Arabidopsis thaliana: one gene and its partner. The protein of the gene in region 1 interacts with the protein of each later gene in a biochemical or structural test. Each region holds a gene or a part of one and is shown on either strand. Other genes may lie near its edges.

The links.
Region 2: of the proteins of RBOH F (region 1) and CIPK26, one has a biochemical effect on the other in vitro, tested with the Arabidopsis thaliana proteins (one study listed by BioGRID).

What each region holds. Positions count from the first base shown.
Region 1 is NC_003070.9:23,761,906-23,779,043, forward strand, and holds RBOH F (respiratory burst oxidase protein F), read left to right. Parts: upstream 1-7,868; 5' UTR 7,869-8,360; coding exon 8,361-9,024; intron 9,025-9,111; coding exon 9,112-9,271; intron 9,272-9,594; coding exon 9,595-9,643; intron 9,644-10,137; coding exon 10,138-10,251; intron 10,252-10,811; coding exon 10,812-11,234; intron 11,235-12,143; coding exon 12,144-12,530; intron 12,531-12,611; coding exon 12,612-12,707; intron 12,708-12,804; coding exon 12,805-12,920; intron 12,921-12,991; coding exon 12,992-13,159; intron 13,160-13,233; coding exon 13,234-13,393; intron 13,394-13,481; coding exon 13,482-13,661; intron 13,662-13,760; coding exon 13,761-13,889; intron 13,890-14,014; coding exon 14,015-14,093; intron 14,094-14,302; coding exon 14,303-14,412; 3' UTR 14,413-15,079; downstream 15,080-17,138. Other genes in the region: AT1G64050 (uncharacterized protein), read left to right, coding at 679-868, 1,050-1,358, 1,535-1,660, 2,131-2,471, 2,602-3,118, 3,195-3,227, 3,319-3,809; AT1G64065 (Late embryogenesis abundant (LEA) hydroxyproline-rich glycoprotein family), read left to right, coding at 16,723-17,138.
Region 2 is NC_003076.8:7,206,101-7,222,521, forward strand, and holds CIPK26 (Ca2+regulated serine-threonine protein kinase family protein), read left to right. Parts: upstream 1-11,143; 5' UTR 11,144-11,406; intron 11,407-11,947; 5' UTR 11,948-11,980; coding exon 11,981-12,151; intron 12,152-12,237; coding exon 12,238-12,300; intron 12,301-12,418; coding exon 12,419-12,490; intron 12,491-12,685; coding exon 12,686-12,793; intron 12,794-12,876; coding exon 12,877-12,957; intron 12,958-13,159; coding exon 13,160-13,213; intron 13,214-13,299; coding exon 13,300-13,425; intron 13,426-13,514; coding exon 13,515-13,604; intron 13,605-14,416; coding exon 14,417-14,539; intron 14,540-14,645; coding exon 14,646-14,756; intron 14,757-14,862; coding exon 14,863-14,976; intron 14,977-15,253; coding exon 15,254-15,310; intron 15,311-15,412; coding exon 15,413-15,487; intron 15,488-15,568; coding exon 15,569-15,643; 3' UTR 15,644-15,921; downstream 15,922-16,421. Other genes in the region: AKINBETA1 (5'-AMP-activated protein kinase beta-2 subunit protein), read left to right, coding at 1,124-1,234, 1,323-1,498, 1,580-1,742, 1,825-2,139; AT5G21222 (protein kinase family protein), read left to right, coding at 3,322-3,492, 3,665-3,727, 3,862-3,933, 4,105-4,212, 4,321-4,401, 4,598-4,651, 4,729-4,854, 4,939-5,028 and 3 more; CAM6 (calmodulin 6), read right to left, coding at 8,640-9,013, 9,775-9,850; NdhU (Chaperone DnaJ-domain superfamily protein), read left to right, coding at 16,194-16,421. UniProt on the Arabidopsis thaliana protein: CIPK serine-threonine protein kinases interact with CBL proteins. Binding of a CBL protein to the regulatory NAF domain of CIPK protein lead to the activation of the kinase in a calcium-dependent manner.

The DNA of each region.
Region 1 (17,138 bases):
GTAACTTCATTGACTTGTTCAAGAAGACCTTGAACCGAAATAGTTAAATCAAAAATCTGTTAACGGAACCAACACAATCTAACGGCGTTAACATTCAGATAAGGGATAATTTCGTCAAAATCAAAAACACCCTCCGCTCCAAGCAAACACCTGAGAATCCACCAGTGGCATATTTGGAAACTCATATCAAACCACATGAACCAAGTGAAATCTTCACTTGAATACGTGTCACTCTATTAACCAACAAGATCATAAAAACCCCGTCATCAGTCAACATCCAACGGTTCTAAATCACTCCGTTTCGCAATAATGTAGTAGCCACGTCAGAGTTACCAGTACAGACGAGCTCACCGGAACAATCTCACCGTCGACGGCTTATCTAAAACAAGGCCAAAGTTAATTTCCCGAAAACTATAAATACTCATCTTTTTTTTCTCCTCTTTCATTTTCTTGCCCTAGATTAAAATCCCTCGATTCACGCAGCCGCACCATTGCGTTTCTTCATCGAGGAAAAAAAAACCAAATCAATCTCACTCTTGTAGCTCACTATTCTCCAGAAATTTCTAAGATTTAGCTTTCTCTAAAGCTCGATCGAACTATCTGGGTTTTGGTTTAAAAGGAGATGATGAGTTCGTATCGCAGCTTACACGGCTGCGATGTTTTCGATTTGGGTTTGTGATGGATGGTTTGAAGATTTCTTGTCCTGTGGATGTTTCGTTGCCGGCTAAGCTTATGGGATCTGAAGGGTGTGGTGGTGGAGTTAGGGTTTCGTCGAATAAAGCAGATAACAACTGTGACAAGGCTCGTGTCTCGATTGGTGTTAATTCTTCAATTGAGCGTTGTAGTAGTGCTTCAATCAACAAGAAAGGTTAGCTAATTTCTCTTCACTTTGACTTCAAATTTCATTTGGGGATTTTGAAATTATTCTTCTTTACACTGAGTACAGTTTATAGTTGTAGATCCAAATTTGTGTTTTTGTTCTTGGTAAATTTGCAAACTTTTTCAAGTTTGGTTGGATGGGTTTTGATTTAGTCTTGTTCTTGATTTAGGAGCAGGAAGTAGCAGTGGAGCGTCTGATTCATCGTTATGGCGCAAGTTAATGCATTCACATGACTTTGTACATGATAGGCTTACTAAACTTCGGGTTGACAATTCATCTGAGCCTCAAAATGGTTATTCACCGATTGCTAGTCCAGAAAGTGCGGAGTCTCCTAGGAAAAGAGGAAAACTTTCTAGAAGTAGTAGTGGTAATGGCACTCCGAGAAGGACGAAATTGATCCTTTTAGATGAAACGGTGAGGACACAGAGAGATAACGACACCAAGGAGATATGTGGACAAGGATCTACTAGTTGCTTAGGTAACTCTCATGTGATTTCTTTGTCTGAAATTATGCATTCATTTAGTCAGTAGCATATATTTTAAAAGAATATGTAATATGTTGGTGAAAGTTTAATGTTTCACACTCTGAAAAAGTGCCTGTGTATCATTTTGCCTTGTGAGGTTACTTATTACCTTCTGTTGAATGCTAAACAGATAAACCGTTTGTGGTGAAGCAACGGAGCAGTTATAACGGCAAGCGAGGTGATAAGAGGATTTCCAAAGTTCCGGTGAGAACTTTATCAACCATCAATTCAGCGACTGGCGAGAATGCATTTTTCGGTATGTGATTGCTTCTGAATTAGCCTTGTCCTGTGGTATCCAATAGTGTACTCTAATTCAACAGTTGACTCCTCAACCTGGTCGATTTACTTTGGCTAGTTATTATATTTTCTTTTATACTTTCAGTTCTATAGATTGCTTCGTCTGAACTTTGAAGTGATTTACAAGTGAAATCTGTTCTGAGGTAGCTTTAGAGGTCCCCTCGGTCACTTGTTATGATTTTTAGTTTATTTTGAATCCTCCCTGACATCACATTGAAAAGGTTTCATTGGCTGACATATTCTTTGCATCGCTAAGGTACCAAAGGGACAATGTAAGAGTTATAGCACCAGTGCATTTCACTACTATCTCATTAAAATGCGACCTTGTTGACATGACAAGGTCTCGTCAGTATATTCTCCTCACGTGAAATGGTCTGATCTTTTTCTAGTGTTGTGTTTACCTCTTAATTTTCCTTACCTTACATGCAGGTGCCTATGGCCTGAAGCCTGCAATAAATGATGTTACCAAACTCGTTGAAGATTTTTCATTGAAAAGTCTTCTTGAAGGCTCTTATGAGTGTCCTTCTTTGGGCAAAGACAAGATGAAGAAATCGGAGAATACTAACAACACTTTATTGAGTGTAGTCAAAAATGTTTGGTCCATTCTACCAACAAAGAGGCCTGTTCAATCACAAAGCTCTACTGAATTAGACACTTGTCTCAGCAGAACTCTGGGTTCACCGCCTAGCTCTATCTCTGCTACACTACCAAATAGTGAAAACATCGATAAAGTAAATGCCCTGGATGGAGATCTATCGTCATCGTCCAAGGTAGATTTCTTAATCTAACATTTAGAAGTTTCATATATATATATTCTGATTTGACCTGTAAGCAAGTATACATGACTTTAAATAGGTTTGTTGCTTTAACTGAAAATTGATACACTCATTGACTTCTCAGGATCATTGCATCAACTCTGAAATTCCTTCCACTCCACTTAGTTTTCCATTATGCGACGCTGGCGATGTATTGAAAAGATTAGGCCTTCCTCCGTCGAAAGATTTAGACTCTCTGCTCCAAGATGCATCAAAACCTTCTCATAACTCTAAGAACAATTTGGACCAGCAGCGTTCAGCTAAACCTCCTCATAGTGGATTGCCTCATTTCCCTTGGTCGCAGCCCTTTAATGGGAGCTCTAGAACCAACTCAGAAGCAGCAAAGCTTGTGACCTGCAAGACACTTTGTCAAGGACGATGGCTAAGAATAGCCGACACTTCTATGAGTTCTCCAGAGGGTATAACCGATAATTTCGCAAATCTGGAATCACTCACTTTCAACCAAAACTTAGTCCCTCCACTACTGAAACAGACTATTACTGGAGTTAAGACCTCTCAAACAAAATTCGCTAACACCATTTCATGCCAGTGCGCAGAAGCATCTGTTTCTACCCTTCAAAATTCTTTCTTTGTTCCCAAAGGTAAGGATCCGTTACCCTCTTTATACTACTCCTAACGAAAACTATATAACAGCAATTTATCTCTCATCAAATGCAGAACCAGAGGGATCCCCAGATGTTGAAGATGATGGTATGTTTTCACAAATACTATTACTGAATATCTCTTTGCCTCAAATTTTATTGAAAATCCTCTTCTGATGATGATGATATGTTGTGTACAGCTCTTTCATGTCCACAGCTTTTAGAAGCTGCACGAACGCTCTGTGACATTGCAGTCCAGTCCGCAAACCACGACAACCCAAACGGAATCCTCAGATGGCCAAAGAAGCTCTCTCAGAAATCCATGAAAGCCCGCAAATCCAAACTAATCGAAAAGCCTCTGGAAAGGCACAGGACAACGGTTTCATCCATAGATCTTAACTCAAGCAACAACAACAATAACAAGAACCACGTGAGAAAAGATTCAGCAGCAGAGCATAATCACCACCATCATCATCATCATCCTAAGCCTTCAAAGAGACTGAAACTATCAACAATGGAGAACAAGAAGAGATCATTCCCGAGCTCATCATCCCCAATAGAATCAGATAGAAAACATTCATCTTCAAGCAAGTTCAAGAATCACTCCCGTATGATGTTGCCGCCTCCACCACCAACGAGAACACTCCAAAAGTCATCCACATATCCTCAGAAAGCTCGGAAATTTCCATGAACCGGTTGAAAATAAGAGTGGTGGATCCATATAAACCAATCTTGATTACTCAAAAGAAACCGGTTTGGTTTTACAAGGGGACATAACGGCGTCGTAGGAGTCGTCTGTAAATACGAATGGTGTCACGGTGTAAGGTAAGTTCTTCTCTATGTGGACAGTGTTTAGGTGCAGAAGACTATATATATTGTATTGCCTTCAATGTTGTAACATTTTTTTTTTTCAGTTGTAGTTGTAGCCACACAGTTCTTTTTAAGGTCTGTTGTGTTTAAAGATTTTTAATTCTACGAGGTCAATGATAAAATTCTCAACTTGAGTGTCGTTTGTATATTTTGGGTGGGAAAGGTTCGAACTCTCGACCCCAATCCGCTTCTTCTCTGCTCTTTGGCTGCTGCTAAATGCCCTGACCGTCTGCTTCGAAGTTAATTGCTAGGCATAACAAACAAGAAAATTTTTGTGTTTGTTGAGGACGTAAAATGCACGTACCACACATGTGTAATGTACTAATGTGGTTGTATATGAAAATAATTATTATAACCTAAGATAATATATTAAATTTGGAAAGCCATCATGAAGTCGGTTCTAATTCAAACTTACTTAATCGTTTATGTATGTGGTGTCACACCGATCACGATCGGTTAGTTTGTGTTTCTCAAGTGTTCTATTATTATATACTTTTCAAAAGATTTGTTAAATTTATTGTTTGTTTAATTGGTTACTTTTGAGTTTTTCGCAAAGGAACAGCGGAGATTAATATATGAGTTCTATAGCCAACATAAATTTAATCAACCAAATTTTACCAACCTTTTTTCTTTTAAAATGTATTCTCCTATCAAATAGTACACGAGATAAACAATTCTAATCTATTTAAAGAAAAAAATGATATTTAAAACCTTATACCTAATGAAAACACTTTGAACACATGATAAATCATTAATAATAATTTTGTTCTAACTTAATTCCATTTATTGCTTTATTTATTTTTCTATATTTTGCTGTGAAATTAGGATAATTTTTGTTGATGTAAAGTTACTACAAAAAAATCTTGTTTGTATATCACTACTAGAGTTTGAGAATGTTAGTTAACAACCAAAGAAAAATGGTTGTCTTAAAGGGACAATTGTTGTATTTTCACTCTAATGAAGGAGTTAGGATGGTAAAGAGAACATGACAATTCAAAGTCAACTAAGTAACTACAATAAATAATTTCATAGATGACATAGTTTCTCTCCCATGTACAAGAAGTGGTTGTTTCATTGACTTGGAAGATATATGGTGGGCCCATTTCACGCACTATATTGGGCCTCAATCGCGTTATTTTTCTTCTAGAAGCCCAAAAGTTTTTGTGTACTATACATGCATGAACGTCAAAAATTATTACTATTAGTTCAACGAATTTATACTATGGTCTATGGACTTGGTGACAAAAGTAAACTATGAAATACTAGACAATTATTCGTAATTGTTTTTATCCGCTTGACTTTGAATATTTCCCATATATGATAAATTTTCATTAACTTGAGTGAATAACCAAAATCTAACTAATATATAATTATCGGCAAGATATCAGATTTTTATGTGTAGGAAAACCAAAGAAGAAGAAAACGAACAAACCAAAAGTTAAGACTTTTCTTTACTGTTCGGTACGGTATGCTTCAAGTTTTAATCATCCTACATATATTTAAGATGTGTGTAGTCGTCGAGTAGTAACACTTATCATATTTTCTAATGAATCTAAACTATGAAACTATTTTGACAAAGAATCCTAATAAAAATCGAACCTAATCAAGAAGAAAACGAATTTGCTATATCATAAAAAAATTACCACTAGGCCACTACTTTCTAAACTTAAAGTTAATCCATCATATTTCCAAATCGTTTGGTAATCAATGGATCGGATAAATGAACTGATTAGTGATTACGTACTATATAATTAACAGTCATGAAAAGCAAACCGCAAACGATACGTCAAATTTTAAAACTTGAAAAGTCAAGCAGTGGGTTAACTTTCTTTAGATTTATGAAACAATGTTCTATATTCTAAATAGTTTCTTACAGTAAAATTCAAATCTATATATACACAAATAGAAAAATGATTGGTTTTTGTAACTTGGGTTGGTAGAATATTCATATCACATTTGACATTTCTATTCTTCAAGAATAACTTATGGGAGAAGTTACTTTCGTTCGAAAACTATAAAAGTTGCAGAAGATAGTGAAGATAGTTGCAGAATTGTATTATATATGTTATACCCAGTTATGTGTGCATGTGTGTACATATATATATGTGTACACTAATACACACGTTTTTCTATGAAATACGAGTTTGTTCAAAAACATCTGACTTTTGTTCATTCATATAAAATGTTAAACGAACTTTTCCTACTTTTTAGTGAATATATTTCGTCAAATTGAAATTGATGCCAAAATTAGGTATAACGTGAAAAACGTATATGTTTTTTAAAAATGAGATTAGTTACGTTTGAAAATCAAATCTTTTCACATTTCACTTTCATACTTGGAGTTTTTGTTTTGTTTTATAACTTGTGTATTTACTACTACAACTGTTTGCACAACATAACATTGAATTGAAATCTTTATATATTAAAATGAAAACACTCAACCCCTTAAAATAGAAATGGTTCACATTCGAGTTTGGTTATTATTTTCTGATAACTGAATTAGATGCCGAACCAAAACCATACAAATTTCCGAGAGATGTAGAATGATGGGCATTTTAATCGTACCAAACAGAACCGAACCAAACCAAACAACCGAACCGTAGTGACGTAGTCTACATCTAACCCATTTGGTTAAACTTTTTTCAACCCTAATGGTTCGGTTTGAACCATTAACCCTAACTGTTTTTTAATTTATAATTAATTTCGTTAGGTAGATAATATTACATGCTTGATTTTGGTTATTTATCAAAACTAAGTTTACTTAGTTCTTTCAATCCTTAAATCTCTAATTCTAAGCTACAATTTTATAAGGTATGGAAAAAACTATTCATATCTCATTTCTATTCCGTTACTTTTCAAAAATTTCAAGTTTTTTTTGACTAAGAAAAGATTTTATAAAAAAAATATGGCTAATAACCACAACGTTTTTCTTGAGTATTATTATTAATAGACTAAACAAATACAAATAAAGTTTACCCCACTCGAATATAAATATTTTTGAGGAAATGTATCTACTATCTTCTTAAACAACGTCGTGTCATTACTCAAAAGTGTCCAACGGGCAATACAAGATTATGATGGACGACCCATGATTAAACATGTTCGATCTAATCTAAAATCTTTTTAGTCTATATTAGTGAAGCACTGAAAACAAAATGTTGTTATCAAATTTGATTTGTTCTTGTTAACAATAAATTCTTTTCAAAAGTGAGCAAAATATTTGTAGTCGTGGACTTAACAACAATACATCAATCGCTAATAAAACACTGGCTTCCACAAATGATGTATAAAAACTATATTCAAAGTCGTCGTCCTTGTTTTTTCTCTCATCAGTTCACAAACAAGCTCAACTTTGGATAAAACGCGTCGGACGTACGAAAAAAAGAAGACTTGCAGAGAAACAACAGTCACACACACAATCACCTCAGATTTAAAAATATTCCTTTGGTATTACTTGAACTAACGTCATCCGAGTTGTTTCTATATATATGTACATATATTCTTTACATGTTATTTATAGCTAATTGGAAGTTTTTAGTGCTTATTGCTAGCTACTAATTAATAACGAGTTTAATTCTAATGAAAATTGGACACAAAATCTGATACTAAGTTGCCTATATAAGATTAGAAATTTAAACTAATAACAGTTACATATATACAAAATCGTGTTGTACCTCATATAATTATGGTGCATTTGAATAAGATATCTATTGAAAAATATATAATGAAAAATTAAATTGGTACTCTAATCAAAAAAAAAAAAAATCTTTAACACATCAAATGTTCAATTTTTTTAAAAGTCCAAATCGTTTTGATATTGTTTTTTATTGAAGAGCAAACTACTATAAGAAAAATATTTGAAGAAACATAGCATTTTCCCATGCATAAACTAGAATGACCAACAAAGATACTCTCAAAGTCTCACTTGTCTAAAAAACAGATAAAAATCATTTCCAATTTTGAGAAAAGGAAAAAAAACAACTCCAATAATACTTTTTGATTTTCTTTTCGTTGCATTAAAATAAATGTGGCAAAAATCCAATAATATTACTATTATAAGTTAAAAAAACTCAAAAAAAAAAAAAAGTATATTCCGTCAACTTTTTCTCAGTCCGGTTCAATCATCTCCATCATCGTTGATCTCTCTCTCTCCGTCAACGTTCTCTCTATAAAGCAGAGAGTTTCACAGCGCGTGAAAAATGGCTTTTCCCACTTAGCCACAACGACGCGTTTCAATTCTCCATCTCTCCCTCTCTCTCTCTCTTTCTTCAAAGATTCCACCAACCTATACATATACTTATATATAATCTATGCTACGTGTATATACTTCCGATATCCTTCAACCAACTCTTTGAATTCCGACTTTGGATCTATGAAACCGTTCTCAAAGAACGATCGGCGACGGTGGTCATTTGATTCAGTTTCCGCCGGAAAAACCGCCGTCGGAAGTGCATCAACTTCACCGGGAACTGAATACTCCATTAACGGTGATCAAGAGTTCGTTGAAGTCACAATCGATCTTCAAGACGATGACACAATCGTTCTTCGTAGCGTCGAGCCAGCAACCGCCATTAATGTCATCGGAGATATCTCCGACGACAACACCGGAATAATGACTCCGGTTTCGATTTCGAGATCTCCGACGATGAAACGAACTTCATCTAATCGGTTCCGACAATTCTCACAAGAGCTTAAAGCCGAAGCTGTGGCGAAAGCGAAACAGTTATCTCAGGAGTTGAAACGATTCTCATGGTCTCGTTCTTTCTCAGGTAACTTAACCACTACTAGTACCGCCGCTAATCAAAGCGGCGGTGCTGGTGGTGGTTTGGTGAACTCGGCTTTAGAAGCGCGAGCGTTGCGAAAGCAACGTGCTCAGTTAGATCGGACTCGGTCTAGTGCTCAAAGAGCTCTTCGTGGTTTGAGATTCATTAGCAATAAGCAAAAGAACGTTGATGGTTGGAACGATGTTCAATCAAATTTCGAAAAATTCGAAAAAAATGGTTACATCTATCGCTCCGATTTCGCTCAATGCATAGGTTCGTAAAAACTCTAGAAGAAACTCTAGAGATTTCGAAATTTACTCAAATCTTGATTTGTGTTTTTTTTGTTGTTGTTGTTGACAGGAATGAAAGATTCGAAAGAATTTGCATTGGAACTGTTCGATGCATTGAGTAGAAGAAGAAGATTAAAAGTAGAGAAAATCAATCACGATGAGCTTTATGAGTATTGGTCACAAATCAACGACGAGAGTTTTGATTCTCGTCTCCAGATCTTCTTCGACATGTACGTAACAGAAAAAGTTACTTAAACTTAATAATTACTTTAATTTAATTACTCTCTTAATCATATTTTTACTGATAATCAATGATTATTTTAGAAAGGTTTCTAACAGTCATTTTACTATAAAGAGATCCCATATTTTCAGCGTTTTTCCAGATCAGTCTTCCTAATTAATTAAACAGTCTAGTAATTTAATTTGATGCATGTGTGCAGAAATTATTGTTCCTTACGATGCGTATGTTTTAATTTTTGTAACTATTGTTTTTAAATATAAACCTTTGACTTTCATTGAAGATAATTAATTACATAATTAATCATTTTTACAGAGTGGACAAGAATGAAGATGGGAGAATTACAGAAGAGGAAGTAAAAGAGGTAATTAAATGCTAGCTAACTAACACAATTAGTGTTATCAATTCTGTCACTATTTAATTAAACATAAATTAATGTCATATTTTTTCGTTAAGGTTTAAGAATAAAATATAAACTGGGACTGGTAGTCAAAATAGATTTTTTAAATTTATAATCAAAGTTAGGCGGGGATTTGGTGACCTTAAATCTCATGAAATGCTGATATACTAACCACTCCATTTAAATTTTAAAAATATCAAAGAACCAAAATACGAATTTTCTTGTCATTGATTTGAGTTTAAACCATGTTCGTTTAGATTCTTATCTGTAACTAAGTTTTCAATTATGCTGAAATATGTTATTGTTTAATTAGTTTTGACTAATAATCAACTTGTTTTAATATAATCTAATATTTGACGGTGACACAAGATACAATAGAGATGTTTTACTTAACATTTTTTGAAGAAAAAAATCCTTCTTATCGTTATGCTTTTTTGTATTTTCTTTGAATATGTTAGATAATAATGTTGAGTGCATCTGCAAATAAGCTATCAAGATTAAAGGAACAAGCAGAGGAATATGCAGCTTTGATTATGGAAGAGTTAGATCCTGAAAGACTTGGCTACATAGAGGTTGGTTTTAATACACACTGTACAAATCTTTGAATCTTTTTCCACCATCACATGCTTTGTTTCCGTGCTTGCATGATGTGAGTATTATATTATTGCAAAATATTTTCAATACTTTCGTTACCCAAACGGAATAAAGTATGTAAAACCGCCGCCCATAAATAGGAATTCAATAATTCTTTTATATAATGTATGACCTCACATGTTATAAGAAAAAAGGAGCCAATTTCTTTTACTATAGCATTAAATTATTTCATGTTTGCTTTTTTTCTACTCTTATCTCATTTTGCTGACACCTAGAATAGTTGTCCATTATAAAGTATAGATTCAGTAGCTCAAATATAGTATAAAAACTTTTTTTTTTTCTATTTCATCAACTCAATGGTAGGTGAAGTAGTTACAATAGACTATTTCAATTGCTAGCTAGAAGATAGAGTTTGAAAAGAAAAAAAAAACATGTGACTGCTACATCTTGAATGTTATATTTATCTATAGAAGTTAAATGATTCATCAAGGCAAATATTTCATACATTTTAATGCTCTTTTATTTTCTTCTTGTGTAGCTATGGCAACTAGAGACTTTGCTTCTACAAAAAGACACATACCTCAATTACAGTCAAGCATTGAGCTATACGAGCCAAGCATTGAGCCAAAACCTTCAAGGGTTAAGGGGAAAGAGTCGAATACATAGAATGAGTTCGGATTTCGTCTACATTATGCAAGAGAATTGGAAAAGGATATGGGTTTTATCCTTATGGATCATGATCATGATCGGATTATTCTTGTGGAAATTCTTCCAATACAAGCAAAAAGATGCATTTCATGTGATGGGATATTGTTTACTCACAGCCAAAGGAGCAGCTGAAACACTTAAATTCAACATGGCTCTAATACTTTTCCCAGTTTGCAGAAACACCATTACTTGGCTTAGATCCACAAGACTCTCTTACTTCGTTCCTTTTGATGATAATATCAACTTCCACAAGGTTAGTGAGCTATAAACCTTTTTGTTTGTTTGTTTTTTACTTTTGATTTCTACTTTTTAGGGTCCCATAAGAACTTTCTTTTCGTGCTTCTATAGAAGTCAAAACCAATACTAATTAGAGATACAAAATCCTCATCGAACGCAATGTGCTGTCAAAAAAGCTGAGATTGTTGTGGGGCTCATATTCTTTGTGCACGCACTGGAACATTGACATGACAGCTAAACAGCTATTTCGCTTTCTCTTTTTTTTTTTTTTTTTGGTTCTCTCTTTCTCATTTCTTACATTTTTTTGCCACTAAAGAAAAGTGAATAAGATTAAGGCATGTGGAATTTAGGTTTGGTTAGGAAAGTCTTATACGGAATTAGAGCTGAACTTTTAATTCAGTTTGAAATTTTTTGTCTCTATGTTGCAAAAAAAACAACTTCATATACAGCTGTTTTGAATAAAATTTTGAAAAGCTATACCGAATTAAAATCAATTTTTTTTGTTTAGTTCGAATAAAATTAGTCTGGTTTTCTTATATGGTTTGGTTCGGTTTTGCACCAAAGATAACTTCACATGCAAATTTTTATTTTCTAATTCAGTTAAGTACATTACATATAGTAAGATTGGTTTTGGTATATTTAAATAACAAATTAAATTTTTCATTAGTTGCAGTTTATTTGGTTTGCTTTGGTTGTATAAGCTTGGTTTCAGTAAATAAACTAAGATTAATTTTGGTTTGGTCTTGGTTTTGGTTTTAGAAATGCTCACCTTTAAAAGTGAAGGTTGTGTTGTAGTGGGGAAAAAATTCTTATTTGATCATTTTAAACTTTCATAAAGTAAGAAACCAATGCTCTACTCACTAAACTATTTTGATAGAAAATTTTAACTCACTGCTCTTTTTTTTGGTTTTTTTGTTATGTGCAGACAATTGCTGGAGCCATTGTAGTAGCTGTGATCCTTCATATTGGAGACCATCTTGCTTGTGATTTCCCTAGAATTGTTAGAGCCACCGAATACGATTACAATCGGTATCTGTTTCATTACTTTCAAACAAAACAGCCAACATACTTCGACCTCGTTAAGGGACCTGAAGGAATCACTGGGATTTTAATGGTCATTTTGATGATTATTTCATTCACATTAGCAACAAGATGGTTTAGGCGTAACCTAGTCAAGCTTCCTAAGCCATTTGATCGACTAACCGGTTTTAACGCCTTTTGGTATTCGCATCATTTGTTCGTCATTGTTTATATCTTGCTTATTCTTCATGGTATCTTCCTCTATTTCGCCAAGCCTTGGTATGTTCGTACGGTAAGTCTCCATGATTCTAAGCTTAGTAATTGTTGACCATATATAATCTTGATTTTGATTTTGAGATGTTGTTTTTTGCAGACATGGATGTATCTTGCAGTACCAGTTTTACTCTATGGTGGAGAAAGAACACTTAGGTACTTCCGTTCTGGTTCTTATTCGGTTCGACTGCTTAAGGTAAGTGAAAAACAAAAACTAAAACAGAGGACTCTGTTTTCTTTACTTTCTCATTGTCTTGTAGAATAAGCTAACTTCTTTTGATTTTTCCTTGTAGGTTGCTATATATCCTGGTAATGTTCTAACGCTACAAATGTCGAAACCAACTCAATTTCGTTACAAAAGCGGACAATACATGTTTGTCCAATGTCCTGCGGTTTCGCCATTCGAGTGGTAAGAATTATTCATAACAGTTTTTGATACCAACCAAATCATCTGTCTTACTGATTTGTATTTCGTTTTAGGCATCCATTCTCAATTACTTCCGCACCTGAAGATGATTATATCAGCATTCACATTAGACAACTTGGTGATTGGACTCAAGAACTCAAAAGAGTATTCTCTGAAGTTTGTGAGCCACCGGTTGGCGGTAAAAGCGGACTTCTCAGAGCCGACGAAACAACAAAGAAAAGGTATAACACGAAAACAAAACCAAACACTTATAAATTAACCAAATGCTGATATGTTTAGTTAAATGTTGTTTCAGTTTGCCAAAGCTATTGATAGATGGACCGTACGGTGCACCAGCACAAGATTATAGGAAATATGATGTTCTCTTATTAGTTGGTCTTGGCATTGGTGCAACTCCATTTATCAGTATCTTGAAAGATTTGCTTAACAACATTGTTAAAATGGAAGAGCATGCGGTAATAAACCAAGTCTTATCTTATTCTCTCTTGTGCAGACAAATAAATAAAGATGTCAAGTTTGATAAAAATGTTTTTACGTCTTCAGGATTCGATCTCGGATTTCAGTAGATCATCAGAATACAGCACAGGAAGCAACGGTGACACGCCAAGACGAAAGAGAATACTAAAAACCACAAATGCTTATTTCTACTGGGTCACAAGAGAACAAGGCTCTTTTGATTGGTTCAAAGGTGTCATGAACGAAGTTGCAGAACTTGACCAACGGGTAATAAACAAACTCAAAACATTTCTTGACAGACACAATCAAAATTTTCCCGAGAAGATTCAATGTGAGAAAATCAAAAAAAAAAATTGTGTGGAACAGGGTGTGATAGAGATGCATAACTATTTAACAAGTGTGTATGAAGAAGGTGATGCTCGTTCTGCTCTCATTACAATGGTTCAAGCTCTTAATCATGCCAAAAATGGTGTCGACATTGTCTCTGGCACTAGGGTACGTTACTTTCTTCTTAAGTCGTGATTCTTTTGATTTCCTAACACGGTCCCCAAATTATAAATTGTGGAAAAATGAACCCACACATAAAGATATGATTCTTAAAAAAAATCTTCATTTTTCAGGTCAGAACACACTTTGCAAGACCTAATTGGAAGAAGGTTCTCACAAAGCTAAGTTCCAAGCATTGCAATGCAAGAATAGGTAACAATCACTAAGCTCCATACATTTCTAATCTTCACAAAAAGTAAAATTTTCTTTCAAGATTCAGTCAATTTAGTCCCCACAATTCATTTTCAGTATCCGTGGGCAATACGTTTCATTTTCATGCTTTTGTAGAAGCTTTCATTTTCTATCACAATCAAGATTCGGGTTTCGATCAAAATGATTCTTAAATCTTTGATCTTTCGCAGGAGTGTTTTATTGCGGAGTACCGGTTTTAGGGAAGGAGCTTAGCAAACTATGCAACACATTCAATCAAAAAGGTTCAACCAAGTTTGAATTTCACAAGGAGCATTTCTAAAAGACAAGAAGGAAGAAGCCAAAAGCCCTCTAGATTCTTTAATATCTCAAATTTAGCCACTTATAGTATAAAGGCAATCTCTTCACTATTTAATTCAAAGTGATTAAACGTTAACACACTGTCAAAAGTGAGTGTGTTAACGTTTAGCTCCACACGTTCTAGGTTTATATACACCGAGGCATACGTGTAAATATACGAGACAGAAGAAATTCAAGGGGGTTTGATAGAAGCATATAGTAAAATTTTAAAATTTCTTGTATAGTAAGCAAATGAGATGGAGACTCTAGAAGAGAGGTGAGGTTTGGTGAGGGATAGCGACAGTAATACGACGTCGTATTCGATTGTAGAGGAAGTGCAATACAGCTGCAGGGAAGATAAATGATGGAAGCAAATAATGCGTTGATAAGGTCCATGTGATTAGGAAGATGACACTCTTTTTGGGGGATATTTTTTTCTATTTTTTTTTTTTAGTGGAGTCGGTGAAAGAGAGACTAGAGTTTTTAGAATATTGGAAGAATATTTGGGAATAAGGGAGTTATAATATTTTTGTATCATTGTATTATATAACTAATGTAAGGTGTACAAAGCATAAAATTTGATAGTTCCTTTCTTCTATATGTTTCCTCTCTTTTAAATCTTAAGAATGTGTGAGTGTGATCATCTCTGCAAGAATGTTTGTACTTCGTTTGTCTCCTTTGGAAAACAAAAATCATATAGAAAATGAATGAGTATATGTACATACATGAGAAATAATGTACCCACCTCTTTATTTTTCTCTGTAATACCTTTCATATTTTTCTTAACAAACATGTACCATTTCTCTTTCATTGTTGGAACATTTGTTGATGGACCTAATTGTCATTGCTTCTGAGCCACTAAGCCCAAAAATTAAAATTATTAAAAGGCCCAGTGGAGTTTGTGATCACAAACCTAAAGAAGTTTAGTGTATGAACCATTTAATCAAAGGAGGTCCAATCCAATAGTGGTGGTATCTATGTGAGAAACTGCTATTGTTACAGATAAAGGACTCAGCAGGAGTTGGACCTTTGTTGCAATAACTGTAAGCCTTTTTTAAACCAATAACTAAGACTTAAGAGTTAAGACCAAACCTTGTAAGATTTTTTACTTTCAAGAACATCGATTTAAGATTTTGGTGAATGTAGTCCTAAAATTTTGAGCTGAAGTCTGACCTAAATTGCAAGATTTCACAGTTGCCATATCAATGTTGACGTCGTCTAAAAGAATACGTCAAGGTAAAATATTTTCTTGAGTTAATTTTGAGTTCAACCATTTGAACAAATTACCATAAGATTACTATTTCAACTGTTTGATTTCAGAGTTGCCTCAAGAGTTGTTTTCTCATACGTATGACTGACTTTGTAAGGCTGGTTTTCATACAAAAAAAAAAAAAAGAGACTTTGTAAGGTTGCTTGCGTATCTTTATCTTTGATCATGTCTATGGTTTCTTAAACCCCGCTTACTCATATCACCAAAAATACTGAAATTAATTTTATTTTGGGATCATTGTGCTTTATGATCTTCTTTTTTTCTCAAACTTTTGTTGAAGTATCGAACATGATCACATTTTATTTTTGTTTCTTAACGAGAAAGTTTTAGAAGAGACCTAGTAAGTAGTAAGCATCACCACAGTACCTATATATCTTGATTTGTTCTTAAAACTAGGTCCCCTGAGAACCTTTCTCCATTCCATTTCGCCCGATCGTAGACAAATGCGAATAGTATTTATTATGAGCACATTGGTCCACTAATCATCGTCAAATTTCTCCGTACGGATTCTAATTTTTGAACTTTAAATCAAAGACATTAAAAGAGAAATAAAAGTCAAGTGATAGGTTTCAAAACAAAAGAACTAATACTATTTAGGTATTGTAAGTTTCCCAAAATTGATGAAAGAAGAAAACTGAAACCCTTCAAAGGTTTCTAAAAACAATTGATGTTAGTTGAAACATTTAAATCTTTGACGTCGTCTTCATCTAAAGACTCTTCTCCTTTCTTTTTTTTCACTGGACTCTTCTGCTATAACTCGCTTTTATAAACGAATAAAAATAAAATCAAAATTAACACACAAAAAAGAATAAAATAATTAAAAGACAAAAATCAAGCCCTCCGGAAAAGACTTATTAAGGATAAAAAACACCGCGTAAGACTCTAACTTAACACGATCGTGCCACGTGTCCTCCAGAAATCCCTCTTTTAACCGCCAAAAAAGAAACCACCCACTCTTCCATTAACATTAACTTTCCTCATCTTCTTCTTCTTCTTCCTCTGATCTAAACAACAAAACAAAAAATGGTGGACGAAGATCGGATAACACTAGCTCCTACCGAGATCTATGGCAGGAGTGATGAAGAACAGAGCGGACCAAGAATCTGGCGTCGGAAAACAGAGGAACCACCAGGGAAATGTCTAGTCTATTCCTTAACAATAATCGTCATCATCTTCGCACTTTGTCTCATCCTATCTTCAATCTTTCTCCGTATCTCAAAACCAGAGATCGAAACAAGATCAATATCGACTCGAGATCTACGATCGGGAGGTAATTCAACAAACCCTTACTTCAACGCCACGCTAGTAAGTGATATCTCGATCAGAAACTCGAATTTTGGCGCGTTTGAATTTGAGGATAGTACGTTACGTGTTGTTTACGCTGATCATGGTGTTGTGGGAGAGACCAAGATTGAAGGGAGAAGAGTGGAAGCTCATAA
Region 2 (16,421 bases), on another chromosome or scaffold:
TTCATTTAGATAGGATCCAAGTACAAAATCTCCAGCCTTTTTTTTATGAGTGAACTCTACTTGTTCACTTGATTTGTGTTATCCTGTTGGTTCTTGAGAATTTGTAATGTAGATTCTTGTTCTTAAAGCTTTTTTCTGAGTTGGGTTTAGAGATTCTGTACTAGAGAATCTCTTTTATTTTTGTGTTATCTTGGTTCAGGTATCTTGAAATAATGCATAATGTGGAAAAGTTTCTACCTTTCTTTAAGATGTTGTTTTGGTTTCCTAGCTATTTTTTCTTTATTTTCCAGCCGGTCTCTAGTCATTTACTGGTCGCTCATGATTCTTGATGTCCCTTAGTGAGTCTTTGTGTAATTTATCTTTGTTTCATTGTGAAGAGGGCAACTTTGCAGACTAAGTACGTTTGTGAATGAAATCTTTTGTATAAAGGAATTAGACTTGACTTGGTTTTGTTTGGTTCTTGAGAAGTCAAAAACTCTGGTAAATGACAAGGTAGCTAGTTACTCTTCCTTAGTTTTGGTGGAGAGAGAGAGAGAGGCTTAGATCACCTTATTGCTATGTCTTTTCCTTTTGGTGAGTTAAAATCTTGTTAATCATACTAGAGAATCTGCTTTAGAGAAGGTCTTATTTGTCTTCTGATTATGCCTCCATGCCTGGTGTGGAAAAGCGTATGGCAGTCAAATAGGATGATTATTGTCTCTCTAGGTTTTTATGCTGATTTTGACTTTCCTGCTGCTCTCTGGTCATTTACCAGTTACTGATACTGTTCTGTTGATTTGCATGTCGCATTGTGAGTCTTTTGTGTAATGTCTTTTGCTTTCATTTTTAAGAGGAGGGAGGGCAAGCTTGTTCTTTTCTTCGCCCTTTTTGAATTTAAACACGCAGAGCTTTTACTTGAACGAATTACAGATTTTGGATGTTTCGTCATTCTTCTCATTGTTCTTAATATGTGAATAATTCATAAGATAAGTGAAGGACAACCTTCTAAAATTGACCTTGTTATCAGGTTTTTGTGGGAATAGTGAAATATCTTTTGCTAATAAGGTCTTGTCTGTACTCTGTATGCGAGTAAATTTCTGAGTCTACTGTTGCTATATTCATTTTCGACTCCTTTTCTTTTCAGCCCACATTGTTATTCCACGTTACATCTTACAACATTTGCTCACCTATGCGTCACCTCTTCCATTGTTTAGGCTTAACATGTGTACCTAATGGCTGCATTTCGTGTCGGATGGTAGATATAATGTTTTGACATTCGCAAATTCTTCTTGCACATTGGTTTGTAAGATCTCACGGCTCAGTGTTTATGTGGATATTCTCAGGTTCCCGTGGCTCCATTGCAGAGAGCAAACGCCCCTCCTCCTAATAACATCCAATGGAACCAATCACAGAGAGTTTTTGATAATCCCCCAGAGCAAGGAATCCCTACCATCATTACATGGAACCAAGGAGGTAATGATGTGGCGGTGGAAGGATCATGGGACAATTGGAGATCAAGGTATAATTGACTTTGTTTCTCGTGGACCCTCTCTCGAGATTTCGTGATATATGTTAAAAACAATATGTTTACATTCACCAGGAAGAAGCTGCAGAAATCAGGGAAAGACCACTCGATTCTCTTTGTCCTTCCATCTGGCATATACCACTACAAGGTGATTGTGGACGGTGAATCCAAATACATCCCAGATTTACCCTTTGTAGCAGACGAAGTTGGCAATGTCTGTAACATTCTCGATGTTCATGTAAGTTACTTTCCCACCTCTTTTTTTCTCATGTTAAATCTATCAATCAGCTTAACAGTATCTGCAATCATTATGCATGCAGAACTTTGTGCCAGAAAACCCAGAAAGCATAGTGGAGTTTGAGGCGCCACCATCACCTGATCATAGCTACGGTCAAACCCTACCAGCCGCAGAAGATTACGCGAAAGAGCCACTGGCGGTGCCACCTCAGCTTCATCTAACACTTCTTGGCACTACTGAAGAGACAGCCATAGCCACAAAGCCTCAACATGTGGTGCTTAACCATGTGTTCATAGAGCAAGGATGGACTCCTCAATCCATAGTAGCTTTGGGTTTAACCCACAGGTTCGAGTCTAAGTACATAACTGTTGTCCTCTACAAACCGCTCACACGGTAACCCTAAAAATTCAGTGCCACATTGTTCTCTCTCTTTCTTTCTTTTTCATCTCTCAATTATGTGAAAACATGTTCTTTGTTCATAGTGACTAGTGAGTGCCCAACATTTGAGTTTATTAACCTCTTTCTTACCTGGTTTGTGGTGCTTGTGTACAAAGCTTCTCTCATTGTAACGATTGTTGTTTTATTTTCTGCAAAAACTGTAAAATACATTCGCTAATAATGGCTATAACAAGCTTATCTGCTAGCAACCAAACACATAAATCCTGTTTTTTTTCTTCTTCTGACAAAACGTTTGCGAAAGTGACAAATTTTTGAAAATAATCTTTCTTTTTGGTATTGGAAAAGGCTAACCAGTTTGAAAGTGTACTCATAATAAATCCACGTCGTCTATTTGATTGAAAATTTTAATTTGGATAAGAAAAAGATAAAAGAGAAATAAGGTGAGAAAAAGTGAGCCACACGATGGAGTATGGCGGAAGAAGCATCGACCGAGTAATTGAGACGCTCTGTTTCCAATTACTACTCTCTCGAGCTCCTCCGCTCTGCATTGTCGCCGAGAGTTCCTTTCTTGTCCGACAAACTACTTCTTCTCCTTCGATAAGCCAATTCTGCGCCATAGATTTTTGAAATCTACTGCCGGAAAGGCTGCATGCGATTTCAACTCCCTTTTCCCGGGACAATTCGCAGGTGTGTATTCCTGAAGCTCCGTTGTACTATACTACTATTCCATGTTTCACTTCGAACGAAGAATCAATCATTCGGTAAATTGGATAATTTGGTCACTTGTTCATGACCTGTACATAATCAAATGTGTAGGAGGACGATGATGAATTTGTAGCATGAACTATCGACGTCATGATTCTAGAAATTTATGTTGGAATTAAAGGGCCCAATGAGAAACATACCCAACAATTTATGCTGTTGCTGAAAAGCTTTGCCATCGCATTGTGGATTTCAGCTGTTTTTGCCTTGTCTTTATCACATTTGACGCCATAGTACTATTTGTGTGTATTCTCGTATTTTACAGTTTCTTTGTCCCTTTTGCATTAGTTTCTGTGAATTGAGAAAAGAAACACTCTGTTGCCTGCACTGTTGGGTTCTTTGGAGATAGAATTCTAACATTGACATTACATTTTCATGAAACAGCTTGTGAAGAAGATCAAGAGGTGAACTCTGAGTGATGAGTGAGCCAAAGGTCAGGCGTTGGGTTGGCAAATATGAGGTTGGAAGATTGATCGGTGAATGTAATTTTGGGAAACTGCGGAGTGCTGTTGACACAGAGACAGGAGACCCTGTGGCTTTGATGATCCTTGATAAAGACAAGGTTCTGAAGCATAAGATGGCTGAACAAGTAATTCGCTTTCCTAATCGGCATTTAGTTTTTTCATGCCTCCTTTCTTGTCCATTGATATGCCCATGTTACATTTCTTGAAGTAAAACGTGGTTTCTAAAAGCGAGATTCACAGATAGATCCGTCTTCTGTCCAGAAGTATGATGTGGGTCTTTCCCGTTTGCTTTTACAGATAAAGAGAGAAATTTCTATTATGAAGCTGATCAACCATCCAAATGTAGTGCAGCTTTATGAGGTCTAATTCCATGCCCCAATTTTTTTTCTACGTGTCTCTATTTTCCTTTGATTAACTAGAAATTAACAGCTCCCTGGAGTCTAAGCAAATATGTTGAAAACTAACATTTAATGAAATGATTGATATCATTCCAGGTTTTGGCGAGCAAGGCGAAGATATATATTGTCCTAGAGTTCATCAGTGGTGGAAAGCTTTTTGACAAGATTGTGAGTTTTCCCTTTACCTCCCAAGGGCTTTAACTTGTATCTAATGCATCCTTTGGTATTTGAATCATGAACCAAATGCCCCATGCTCAGCTAAGAAGTTCCTGTATCTTACAGATTAGATAATATATTATTTTGACTTTTATCCAATCCATTAAATTTAAACTTGTGAAGAAAAATGATGGGCGCATGAATGAAGACGAAGCACAGAGATATTTCCAGCAGCTTATCAATGCAGTTGATTACTGCCACAGCAGGGGAGTGTACCACAGAGACTTAAAGGTACAAGGAACATTTTTGGTAACTCTTAGGCCAAGTTTGCAGTGTAGGTTCTTTTAAGTGCAGCTAGTTAGTGCCTAAATTTTTTTCTTCTTTATTTTCTCAATGCAGCCAGAAAATTTGCTTCTTGATGCGCAAGAGAATTTGAAAGTCGCTGAATTTGGATTGATTGCCTTGTCCCAACAAGCCGGGGTAACTACGGAATTTTATTTTCTTAGCATCATTTGTTTGCCTGAGTTCCTACTGAGTTGTCCTTGTCTTATTCTAATGAATGTGCCTGAAGTTCAGTAATGATGATATCAGTGATTATATTCACAAAAATTTAACAAGGTCCGTAACACTGATCTTTCTAGATTCTCACCTTATCAGAATTACTTGGTTTTGGCAGGGAGATGGCCTTCGTCACACTGCATGTGGAAATCCAGATTATGCTGCTCCTGAGGTATTCTTAGTCATGTGGCTTGTTATGCGGTTGTCGAACCATGTCTTTAATAGCTTCCTTGTTGCCTTTGTCCCAAGGTTCTTAATGATCAAGGCTATGATGGGGCAAAGGCAGACTTGTGGTCCTGTGGAGTGATACTCTTTGTACTACTTGCTGGGTATTTGCCTTTCGAGGATTCTAGTCTCACGACGCTGTACAAAAAGGTAAGAAGTTTGTAATATATATCTCCAGGCTTCTTCTCACTATCATCTGTGATTCCTGTTTCTAAGTTGCATTTTTATTTTCAGATCTCATCTGCTGATTTTAGTTGTCCTCCTTGGCTCTCTTCTGGTGTTAAGAATTTGATCGTCCGAATCTTGGATCCAAACCCTATGACTGTAAGACATTTCGCTTTACTACTCAAGATTTAAATTTATCCTTCTTTTGTTTTCTTCTGTGGAGCCCCACAATCTCAATTTGCTTTTTTTTCTTTTTCTTTCTAAGATCATTAGGCGGGTTAGGGGTTACTAGGAATCTGGTGGAAATTTTATGCCTGAGCGCTAATGGAAAATTTGAAGAGATCATTCAACATAGACATAGTGGCATTCATATAGTGTTGGTCTAATCTCTAAAGTGTAAATTTAATCGTTCCAAGTAATGGACAGACCAGAAATCATAATTGGGAATCATAAACTCTGCAATTCTTGCTGACTCTTTCCTTTCCTTTCCATTCCTGAAATGAGCTACTCGTAGTAGATTATCACTTTTCAAAAATGTTAAAAAGTTGTATACCCCTCCTGTAATTGTTAGTCCCGTGGATAAGCGCATGTTAGAGTCATACAAAGTGGATGCTTTATCTGTATCTTGCATGTAGAATTTGAATATCACTCAGAACATCTGCGGATAAATAAACGCCAACGCCACTCGTCCTTGATTTCAAAAGTGGAACTAATTCACTGTGTTAACATGCCAGCGTATAACAATTCCAGAGATTTTGGAAGATGTGTGGTTCAAGAAAGATTACAAGCCAGCTGTATTTGAAGAGAAGAAAGAAGCAAATTTGGCTGATGTGGAAGCTGTTTTCAAAGATTCTGAAGTGAGTCATTTTATCTATTCTGAGATCTGTTTGATGATTGAGTTGAAGGATTTAGTAGCTGGAAATAATCACCTAGACTAACCGAACCTTTTAGGCATAGAGCATCTGATTCAATAATATCAAAGTCTTTGATCCTAATATGAAAACATGTTTGAGATAACGTACGCCTTTGCTTCACAGGAAGGGAGAGTGCAACTGAGGTCATTTCCTTGTGTGATATGTTCAGGTGGTACTACTTGTGGTGATGTTCGTTCAAGGACCAAACTGATGAACGGCTTGATAGAAAGAGGGAGGCCTCAAGAAGCTCATTCCATTTTCAACACACTTATTGAGGAAGGCCACAAGCCAAGCCTCATCACATACACCACGCTTGTAACTGCATTGACCCGTCAAAAGCACTTCCACTCTCTCCTCTCCCTCATCTCCAAAGTCGAGAAAAACGGCCTTAAACCTGACACCATTCTCTTCAACGCCATCATCAACGCCTCTTCCGAGTCTGGAAATCTCGATCAAGCAATGAAGATTTTCGAAAAAATGAAGGAAAGTGGATGTAAACCCACAGCAAGTACATTTAATACTCTCATCAAAGGATATGGCAAAATTGGTAAGCTGGAGGAATCATCAAGACTCCTGGATATGATGTTACGGGATGAGATGCTCCAACCAAATGACAGAACATGTAACATACTTGTCCAGGCTTGGTGTAACCAGAGGAAGATTGAAGAAGCATGGAACATTGTATATAAGATGCAATCTTATGGGGTAAAACCTGATGTAGTTACGTTTAACACATTGGCAAAAGCGTATGCGCGGATCGGGTCAACATGTACAGCTGAGGATATGATCATACCAAGGATGTTACACAATAAAGTTAAACCGAATGTACGTACCTGCGGTACCATTGTGAATGGCTACTGTGAAGAGGGCAAGATGGAAGAAGCTTTGAGGTTTTTCTATAGAATGAAGGAACTTGGAGTTCATCCTAATCTGTTTGTTTTTAACTCTCTAATCAAAGGCTTCCTTAACATCAACGACATGGATGGAGTTGGTGAGGTGCGCTTTATAGTTTATAAACTTTCAATAATTTTTCACTCACTTTCGTTTTTTTAATTTTAACTATGGGCAAGTTAATATAATAGGTGGTGGATCTGATGGAAGAATTTGGAGTAAAACCTGATGTGGTAACGTTTAGCACTCTAATGAATGCATGGAGTTCTGTAGGAGATATGAAAAGATGCGAAGAGATCTATACAGATATGTTGGAAGGAGGAATAGATCCTGATATTCATGCATTTAGTATCCTTGCCAAAGGGTATGCTCGAGCTGGGGAGCCCGAAAAAGCGGAGCAAATCTTGAATCAGATGAGAAAATTTGGTGTTCGCCCAAATGTAGTGATCTACACACAGATCATAAGCGGTTGGTGCAGTGCTGGTGAAATGAAGAAAGCGATGCAGGTATATAAGAAAATGTGTGGAATCGTTGGTTTATCGCCTAACTTGACTACTTACGAGACTCTTATATGGGGATTTGGGGAAGCGAAGCAGCCATGGAAAGCAGAAGAGCTTCTGAAAGACATGGAAGGGAAGAATGTTGTTCCCACAAGGAAAACTATGCAACTCATAGCTGATGGATGGAAATCTATTGGTGTCTCTAATAGTAATGATGCCAATACATTGGGCTCTTCCTTCTCAACTTCCTCTAAACTCAATATCCCAAATAATATCGCCTCGTCGAGAAGTCCATTGTTCTTAAAAGGAATGCCTGAAAAACCAAAGCTATGTATCAAGTCTCAGTTTGGTTTGAGGCAGACTCTTTTGGTGGTGTTGTGCAGAGACCAGATTGGGGAAGCCGGGAGATTTTGTAAGTTCATGTAGAATTTGTTTTGCTGTAGAGATGGAGCTAAATTAAAGGGTAAGAAAAGCTGATCAAAGATTGGTGTCGATCGATTTTTAAGATTTATTTTTCTGTACAGATATACTTTTTCAGTTAAATGAAAAATATGGTGTTTAACAAGCAAGACAATGAGATGGATAATGTTAGATTGTATTTTTTTGTTTCTTAATCGAAAAGTTGGTGCTAATTGTGTCCCAAAAACTTGATTATGTGATATTTGAGGCAATTTCTCTTTATAAAACTATATAATCTCTATAGAATAAATTATAATAATTTGACCCGCGGGTGAATACGATGATCTGATGACCTATAAGGTAGTCCGGTTCGCTATCTGGATCGGGTTAACATTGACCCTATATAAACCAAGCATCCACCAACAAACTTAGTTGACTAAAGAGTCTCTGGACCTAGAGGTCAAGAGTCCAATTTTCGTTTGGGAGATGGTCACATTACATCTTTTGGTCTCTCTAGCATCAGGGAGTGTACGAAATTAGGTTTACAACCTCTTTGATCATTTAAAAAACTTTTAGACAACAATAGATTTAGAGGCTACTTACATTTGTTTCTAAAGAATTTCCAATTTTGATGATCCTAATGGAAAAAAGGTTTGAAGGTTAGGGACTTACGGTTTACAAACTAAGAAACAAAATGGTTTGTAAATTTTATTGATACATATAACTACTATATTTTTCATGTAAAATAACAATAACGTTGGCGATGTTGCAAAATCGTTTTCGTTGGTCAATTCTCTTACTGGTATTTTAAACGCGGCCAAATTTTAGGGCATTGCTTTAAGATAAACAACAACTAACAAAAATTTACAGAATAAAATCAGATGCCCAAAAAAGAGAGCAAAATATGAGTTCATACTTCACATAACACTAAAAGGCTTAACCAAACAAACAAGGGAAATAAGCAAAATGATGTCCTAAAGAACGCAACCAGAATCAAGTCATAATGTAACTTCACTGTAGAAATCATAAATCTTGTTTCTTTTTGTGGGCTTAAGATAAAATTCTCTCACTTAGCCATCATGACTTTGACGAATTCTTCATAGTTAATCTGACCATCGCCATCAACATCCGCTTCTCGGATCATCTCATCAACTTCCTCATCGGATAGCTTCTCACCGAGATTTGTCATGACATGTCGAAGCTCTGCTGCAGATATGAAACCATTCTGGTCTTTATCAAAAACCCTAAAAGCTTCCTTGAGCTCTTCCTCTGAATCAGTGTCCTTCATTTTCCTTGCCATCAGGTTCAGGAACTCCGGGAAATCAATGGTCCCGTTCCCATCTGCATCAACTTCATTGATCATGTCTTGAAGCTCAGCTTCTGTTGGGTTTTGCCCCAGAGACCTCATCACGGTTCCGAGCTCCTTGGTGGTGATACAACCTGCAACCAGATTCAGGTATAATAAGCTTTTAGAGACAGACTTATATCCACAGTCAACAAACAAAAGCCATTGTATTTCTTATTTCGACTGATGAAGATCTGGTAAGTAAAAAAGAGAATGATTTTTTTTCATTCAACAAAGTCCTACTAAGTTAACAAAGAAACTCCATTCATACAAACTAAAAATAATCACTCTTCCAAGTCCTACCTAAAGTGTTAGGGTAAAAGAAATATTCTGTGTTTATTCCGTCTTTCCTTATGTGTGTGTACTAGCAAATCTAGAATCATGTGTATTAAAAAGACACAATATTCTTCTCCAAATCTCTTTACATGGTATCAAAGCCAGAATCAAAACCCTAGCCACTTCGTTCTATTGAACCCACATCTCACCGTGCAAAGGCCAATAATGCACAACAGAATTTTGCAAGTTTTTCACCAATCAAAGCAGAATACATTCCTGATATCTACAACATCAATCCTTTTTTCAACAATTAAACTACTCAAAATCTCAACATATGGATAAATTTCCCAAAACATTTCATTGCTGCATCACGAGACTGAACCAGAACAAGAACAAAACACAGCGTGAGTCATGAATCGCTATCGAATTAGCCAAAAGCTAGATCGTTCACAAGTGAAACAAACACGAATCATACAGAAAACTGAAGAAGATCATAAATCTGTCAAACAAATTCCAGAACTCGTATACGGACGGAGTAATCATCGGGGAAAAAACGCAAAGATCTGGGAAAGAAACATACCATCACCATCCTTATCGAAGAGGCTAAAGGCTTCCTTGAACTCTGAGATCTGGTCATCGGTGAGCTGATCCGCCATTTTCCTTCTTACCTTTTTTTAGAAATCCCAGATTTTTTTTTTGCTACTGAATATATTATTTGCCTCTCTAATAATAATTCAGCAAGAGAGCTTATAAAAGAGAGAGAGCCCAACAACTTATGGTTGGGCCTCTAAAGATTTACTAGCTAATTCAGTAATTCTTATGATTTTTTTGTCTTTTTAGTTTAGTTTTTTAAGACAATTATAAAGAAAACTATAACCTTTGCAGTTAATTTAGACATATATACTAGGTAATAAATCTATCAAATTAACAATTATTAATTTTTTTTGACTATTTTCAAAACTGATTTAGTAGAATATTTTACAGTATATCAATTAAACTTTTGACATTATTTTTTTCATTTAAATATTTAATTATAAAAAGTTTTTAAACTAGGATAGATATTTAAGGATATTAATTAATTTGGAAAATTAAAAAAAAACTTATAATATGTTGAAAAAAATAATATATGGATACATATGAAATGATTAGAGTATCCTCTAAATTTACGTTACAGAAACGGATATGTATAAGCAAAAATTTTACATGAATACACTTTTTTGTAGAAATAGTTAAACTTGAATCGATTTTACATGTTTTGTTTTAATTTAAATGGATACTTAATAAAAAAGTTAGTCAATATCTCTACATTTTTTCCAAGTAAACTGTTTTTAAATTTTTTTAGTTTTTATATTAAAAACAAAAAGAGTGTTCGATCATTTATATGAGTCTTATTATTCCACACCTCTAGAATATATATGTACTCGCTACAAATGAGTCTAATGAGCTTTTGCCGTTGATGATTTGTTCAATGTTCTAATAATTGTCATCAGTCTATAACCATTGACACTACACAAAACGGTTGCAATGTATGACTTTTGTTGAACTTTGTAGTGACTAGTAAGTAAGTGAGAGTGAAGAAGCAACGGTTTTTCTTTCTTACAAAAAACTCATATATACTTCAGAGTTAAGACTTAAAAATATATAATAGTGGATAAAATCAGTTACAACTATTTTTTTTTTTAAATGGTCTGTAACAAAAACATAAGAATTCATCGATTACTTAGAAACAACTCAAATGAGAAAGAAAAAAAAACACCTATTGATTAGGTCCATATCTAGTCAAAATCTGAATACTCAAATATTTTGTCATTACATTAATTAACCCAAAATAATTGACCAAAAAAGGCAAAAAACATAATTTTATTTCTTAAGAAAATTGAGGAGCTTAACAAAGGAAAGAAACGTATAATTGTCCCATACGAAAAAAAAAAATTAAAAAACAAGTGTCCATTAAAGTGAGAGAGTCCCTACACGAAATTAAATAAGTTTTTGTCTGTTAGCTACAAATTTCTCTACAATCATCGTATCTCTTTCGTCGCATCTCTATCTCTTGTTGCTCCTTGTATTAGCCCATCATTTTTTTATTTCTCCTGCGAATTCTCCGCCATAGATTTTCTTTTGAATTTCTCCTGCTAACTCTTGAGCTCCCCAAAGGCGGCTACATCGGTTTTGTCACCTCTACTCGCTCACTTTTCTCCGTCCAATTTTGCAGGTTTGTTGGTCGATTCTCCATGTTTTTGCTTCGAATTCGATGAGTAATTCGGTAACTTAGAGAGTTGCTTACGCTTTTGGTTTATGTGTAAAGTGTGCATAATCTCTATATTATATGATGGTGATGATGATTAGTTCTGTAGCTAACTCGAGAATCTCGCTTCAATTGTGTATCAGTACAAATATTGGTTTAGTGGAGAATTTTGGATTTGTAGATGCTTGCTTGAACAATATATGATTTATCTAAGTCATGATTCTAGAGATTTAGGCTGTTTTTGGAGTAATTAAAAAGGATGATCGGAATTTCCGGAGAAAATCTCCGCTGCTAGATTTGTCATTGCCTTGTGGATTTTCAGCTGTTTTTACGCTTTGTCTTTATTGAATTCTGTGGCATATTACTGTTCTTTTCTTGACGGTTTCTTTCACTTTTTTTGCATTTAGTTTCCGTGAATTGAGCAAAGAAACACTATCTTGCCTGTTGTTGTGTTGGATTCTTTTCATGGAATCATTCTTATATGCGAGATTACATTTTCCAAAAACAGCTTTTGAAGATCAAGAGGTGAACATTCGGAGTGATGAATCGGCCAAAGGTTCAGCGTCGTGTTGGAAAGTATGAGGTTGGAAAGACGCTTGGACAAGGCACTTTTGCGAAAGTTCGGTGTGCTGTTAATACTGAGACAGGAGAACGCGTGGCTCTCAAAATACTTGATAAGGAGAAGGTTCTTAAGCATAAGATGGCTGAACAGGTAACTCTCTTTCCTAATAAGATAATATACTAGATGCATCTTCAGTCCAAAAGTATGATGTGTGTCTTTCCTGATTGTTTTTACAGATAAGGAGAGAAATTTGTACTATGAAGCTGATAAACCATCCAAATGTAGTGCGGCTGTATGAGGTATATCTCCATTTTTCTATTTGTGTCTCTATTTTTCTTTGGCTTGCTTTAGAGCTCTTTGTATGTGAAGCCAATGTGCTGAAGCTAACTTTTAAGGAAATGATTGATACCGTTCCAGGTTTTGGCGAGCAAGACTAAGATATATATTGTTCTAGAGTTCGGCACTGGTGGAGAGCTTTTTGACAAAATTGTGAGTTTTCCTTAATCCCTCCCAATGGATTTATAATTGTTACTTGATCCATCTATTGTTGTTTGAACATGTATGCTAAGCTCTGGTCAATCTTGATAGATGTTCCTGTTTCTTGCAATTGAAACGTTCTCTTATCTCTGATGTAGATTTAACCTTTGTAGATTTAACCTTTGCATTATGTGTAAACTTGTGAAGGTACATGATGGGCGCTTGAAAGAAGAGAATGCACGGAAATATTTTCAGCAGCTTATTAATGCAGTTGATTACTGCCATAGCAGGGGAGTGTACCACCGGGACTTAAAGGTATGATATTTTTTGGTTTATGCCCAAGTTTGCAGTATGTTTCTTTAATGTGCAGATAATTGATACTTACAATTTCACTGCAGCCGGAAAACTTGCTTCTAGATGCTCAAGGAAATCTGAAAGTCTCTGATTTTGGATTGAGTGCGTTGTCCCGACAAGTCAGGGTAATCACTGAGTCTTATTTTTCTTTCTTAGCATCCTTTTGTTTACCTGAATTCTCACTGATTTGTCCTTGTCCTATTCTAATGAAGAAACCTGTAGTTCAACGACGATGTGTCTCATTGACTGTTTATACATATATTTAATAAGCTCTGAATACTGACCATTCTAGATTCTCAGCTTATCAAACTTATTTGGTCTTGGCAGGGTGATGGTCTTCTTCACACTGCATGCGGAACTCCAAACTATGCTGCTCCTGAGGTATGCTTAGGCATGTGTCTTGTATGTCATGCGGTTGTTGCACCATGTTATGTTACTAATAGCTTCGTTGTTGCTCTTGTCACAAGGTTCTTAATGATCAAGGTTATGACGGGGCAACCGCAGACTTGTGGTCCTGTGGAGTGATACTCTTTGTACTACTTGCTGGCTACTTGCCTTTCGAGGATTCTAATCTCATGACGCTGTATAAAAAGGTAAGAAGTTTTGTCATTTTTTCAAAGCTTCTTCTTTCACCATTATCGGTGATTACTGTTTCTATGTTAACACTTTCGTCATTTCTCAGATAATAGCTGGTGAATATCATTGTCCTCCTTGGCTCTCTCCTGGTGCTAAGAACTTGATTGTCCGAATCTTGGATCCAAACCCTATGACTGTAAGATATTTCAGTTTATTAATGCTTTCAAGATTTAAATCTATTCTTCTTTTGTTTTCTTCAGTCGAACCCCAACAATCTTGTCTTGTTTTTATTCTTAGACACTTAGGTAGGTTAGGGCTTACCAGGGTAACATATATGGGAAGATTTGATTGTCTAAGCCCTAACGGCCTAACCCACCAAAGTGGCATTCTATTGTTTGTCTTGTTCTATTTTTAGCATTAGGTTTAATATCAAATATACTTCTTCATATTTAGGCATCATTTACTATTTTGTAAATTGAGTCACAACGTGTAAGCAGAATTATTGACTTGTTTAAAGTAACTGTACGTTTCTGTGTCATATAAATTAATAATTTCCATTCTAGCTGACATTTTCTTTTAGGGATATCTACCTGCAATGAGCTTCTGCTGGTAGATTTTATCATAATCTTTCTAAATTGCTCAAAAGTTTATGATTCTCCTGTATTTTTTAGTTATATACATAGCGGATTATGATAGATATTCAGTTATGATTTGGTGAAGATTGTTTGATTAGTATCTTAATCATGATATATAACTAAGGGCTTATTTATGTGTTTTCTTATTCTGGGTTTTGGGGGGGTTTCCTATTTCTTAAGCTCTTGAATTCTTTGTGTAATCACTTTTATCTACTTTTTATATCAAAGTCTTTCTATATTTCCTCTTCGACTCTTTATTACTTTTTTTTGTGTCTTGCATGTTAAACTTAAACTCATTCAAAACATCTGCGACTAAAGCCGCTCGTCCTTGATTTCAACGGTGGAACTAATTGACTGTGTGTTAACGTGCCAGCGTATCACAATTCCAGAGGTTCTGGGAGATGCGTGGTTCAAGAAAAATTACAAGCCAGCTGTTTTCGAGGAGAAGGAAGAAGCCAACTTGGATGATGTGGACGCTGTTTTCAAAGATTCAGAAGTGAGTCTTATTTATTTTGTCTGCGATCTATAAGATAAATGAACTGTTTTTCCTTTTTTCAAGTTACTTGAATAAATGTACATAACAGTCTGTAATTTATTAACAGGAGCATCATGTCACAGAAAAGAAAGAGGAGCAACCAACTTCAATGAATGCCTTTGAGTTGATATCAATGTCGAGAGCTCTGGATCTCGGGAATTTGTTTGAAGAAGAAGAGGTATGTCTCTTAGACTTAACATACTTATTTGCTTGAATCCTTGAGCAAACACTTGTTTTTCCACATTATATTTTCAGTAATGAAGTCTATACCGTTTAACTTGCAGGGATTCAAGCGAGAAACGAGATTTGCTGCTAAAGGTGCTGCTAATGATTTAGTCCAAAAGATTGAAGAAGCTTCTAAGCCGCTTGGTTTCGATATTCAAAAGAAAAACTATAAGGTAATGCGATCGTGTGAAACCTTAACAGCTATTGGCATCGTCTTTTCCTTTTTCTTAGATGGCTTCCTGTTAGAGTTAAGAATCACAAACACATGATAAAAAGACTCACTCCCTTGGTATAAATCGATAAACTCGAACCTCACCAACAAGTTCACTTATAGACGGATTACCTATTAGGGTAGAAATGAAGGTCCTAATTAACATATTATCACCCTCATTGCTCACTTCGTTACGGTGTGGAAGTTTCCTTTTACTGAAGCGCTACTTATGTACACAGATGAGACTTGAAAACGTGACTGCTGGAAGGAAAGGAAACCTAAGAGTTGCAACTGAGGTACATTATGCACTCCTGACTCTTTTTCTGTTATGAAGTTAGTATCTGAATCCAAATTGTCATGGAACTAAAGAAGTGACCGTATCTTATAATGTTTTGTAGATATTTCAAGTATCACCGTCTCTTCATATGATCGAAGTCCGGAAAACGAAAGGGGATACACTAGAATTCCATAAGGTAATCATTTTTCAAGTTTTCGACTAATATGTTCACTTGAGGACCGATTCTTATATCTCTGTTCATCTACTTTCTTTACAGTTCTACAAGAAGCTCTCAACCTCACTTAACGATGTGGTTTGGAAATCTGGCGAGAGCTCTGGTCTAAGCAAATAAGAAAAAAGACTGATGATTCAAGTCCTTGCTTTGACTATCTTTTATTTAGCTTTTTGCTGATACTTTCTTTCAAGACTCAATTCTTTTAAATATTAGAGACAAAAAGCCATGAGATTGATGACTCTGTAGATATCGAAGCATGTGCAGTAAGTTTATGCTGTTCATATAATTGCAAACTTCGATTGTGTTGTGTCACAAACATTTTGTCTAACTGGGTTTACTTACTACTATTAATGCTCAAAGATGCTGTAAGAACGTTGAAGTAAGCTGAAAACGACATCGTTTCTAAATCTAACACCAAAAGATAAAAAATCGCCGTTGCCGGGGATCGAACCCGGGTCACCCGCGTGACAGGCGGGAATACTTACCACTATACTACAACGACCTTGTTGATAAAGAATCATAACTAATACTATATAGCTGTGTCTTATTATAGTGGACCTGCATTATTTATTTATCCGCTTAGATTTCTATGGTTGATACAATTTTGGTATCCGTTATCAATTAAAATTCGAAATATTTGTGTGTTTGGTGTGTAAACCTTGGAGCTATGGCTTCCTTATCGACGATAACTCAACCATCTTTAGTCCACATTCCCGGTGAATCAGTCCTCCATCACGTACCAAGCACGTGCTCTTTCCCATGGAAGCCAACTATCAACACGAAGCGGATTATCTGTTCGCCGGCTAGGAACTCCAGCGAAGTATCGGCGGAGGCAGAAACCGAAGGTGGATCTAGCACCGCCGTTGATGAAGCACCGAAAGAGTCTCCATCTTTA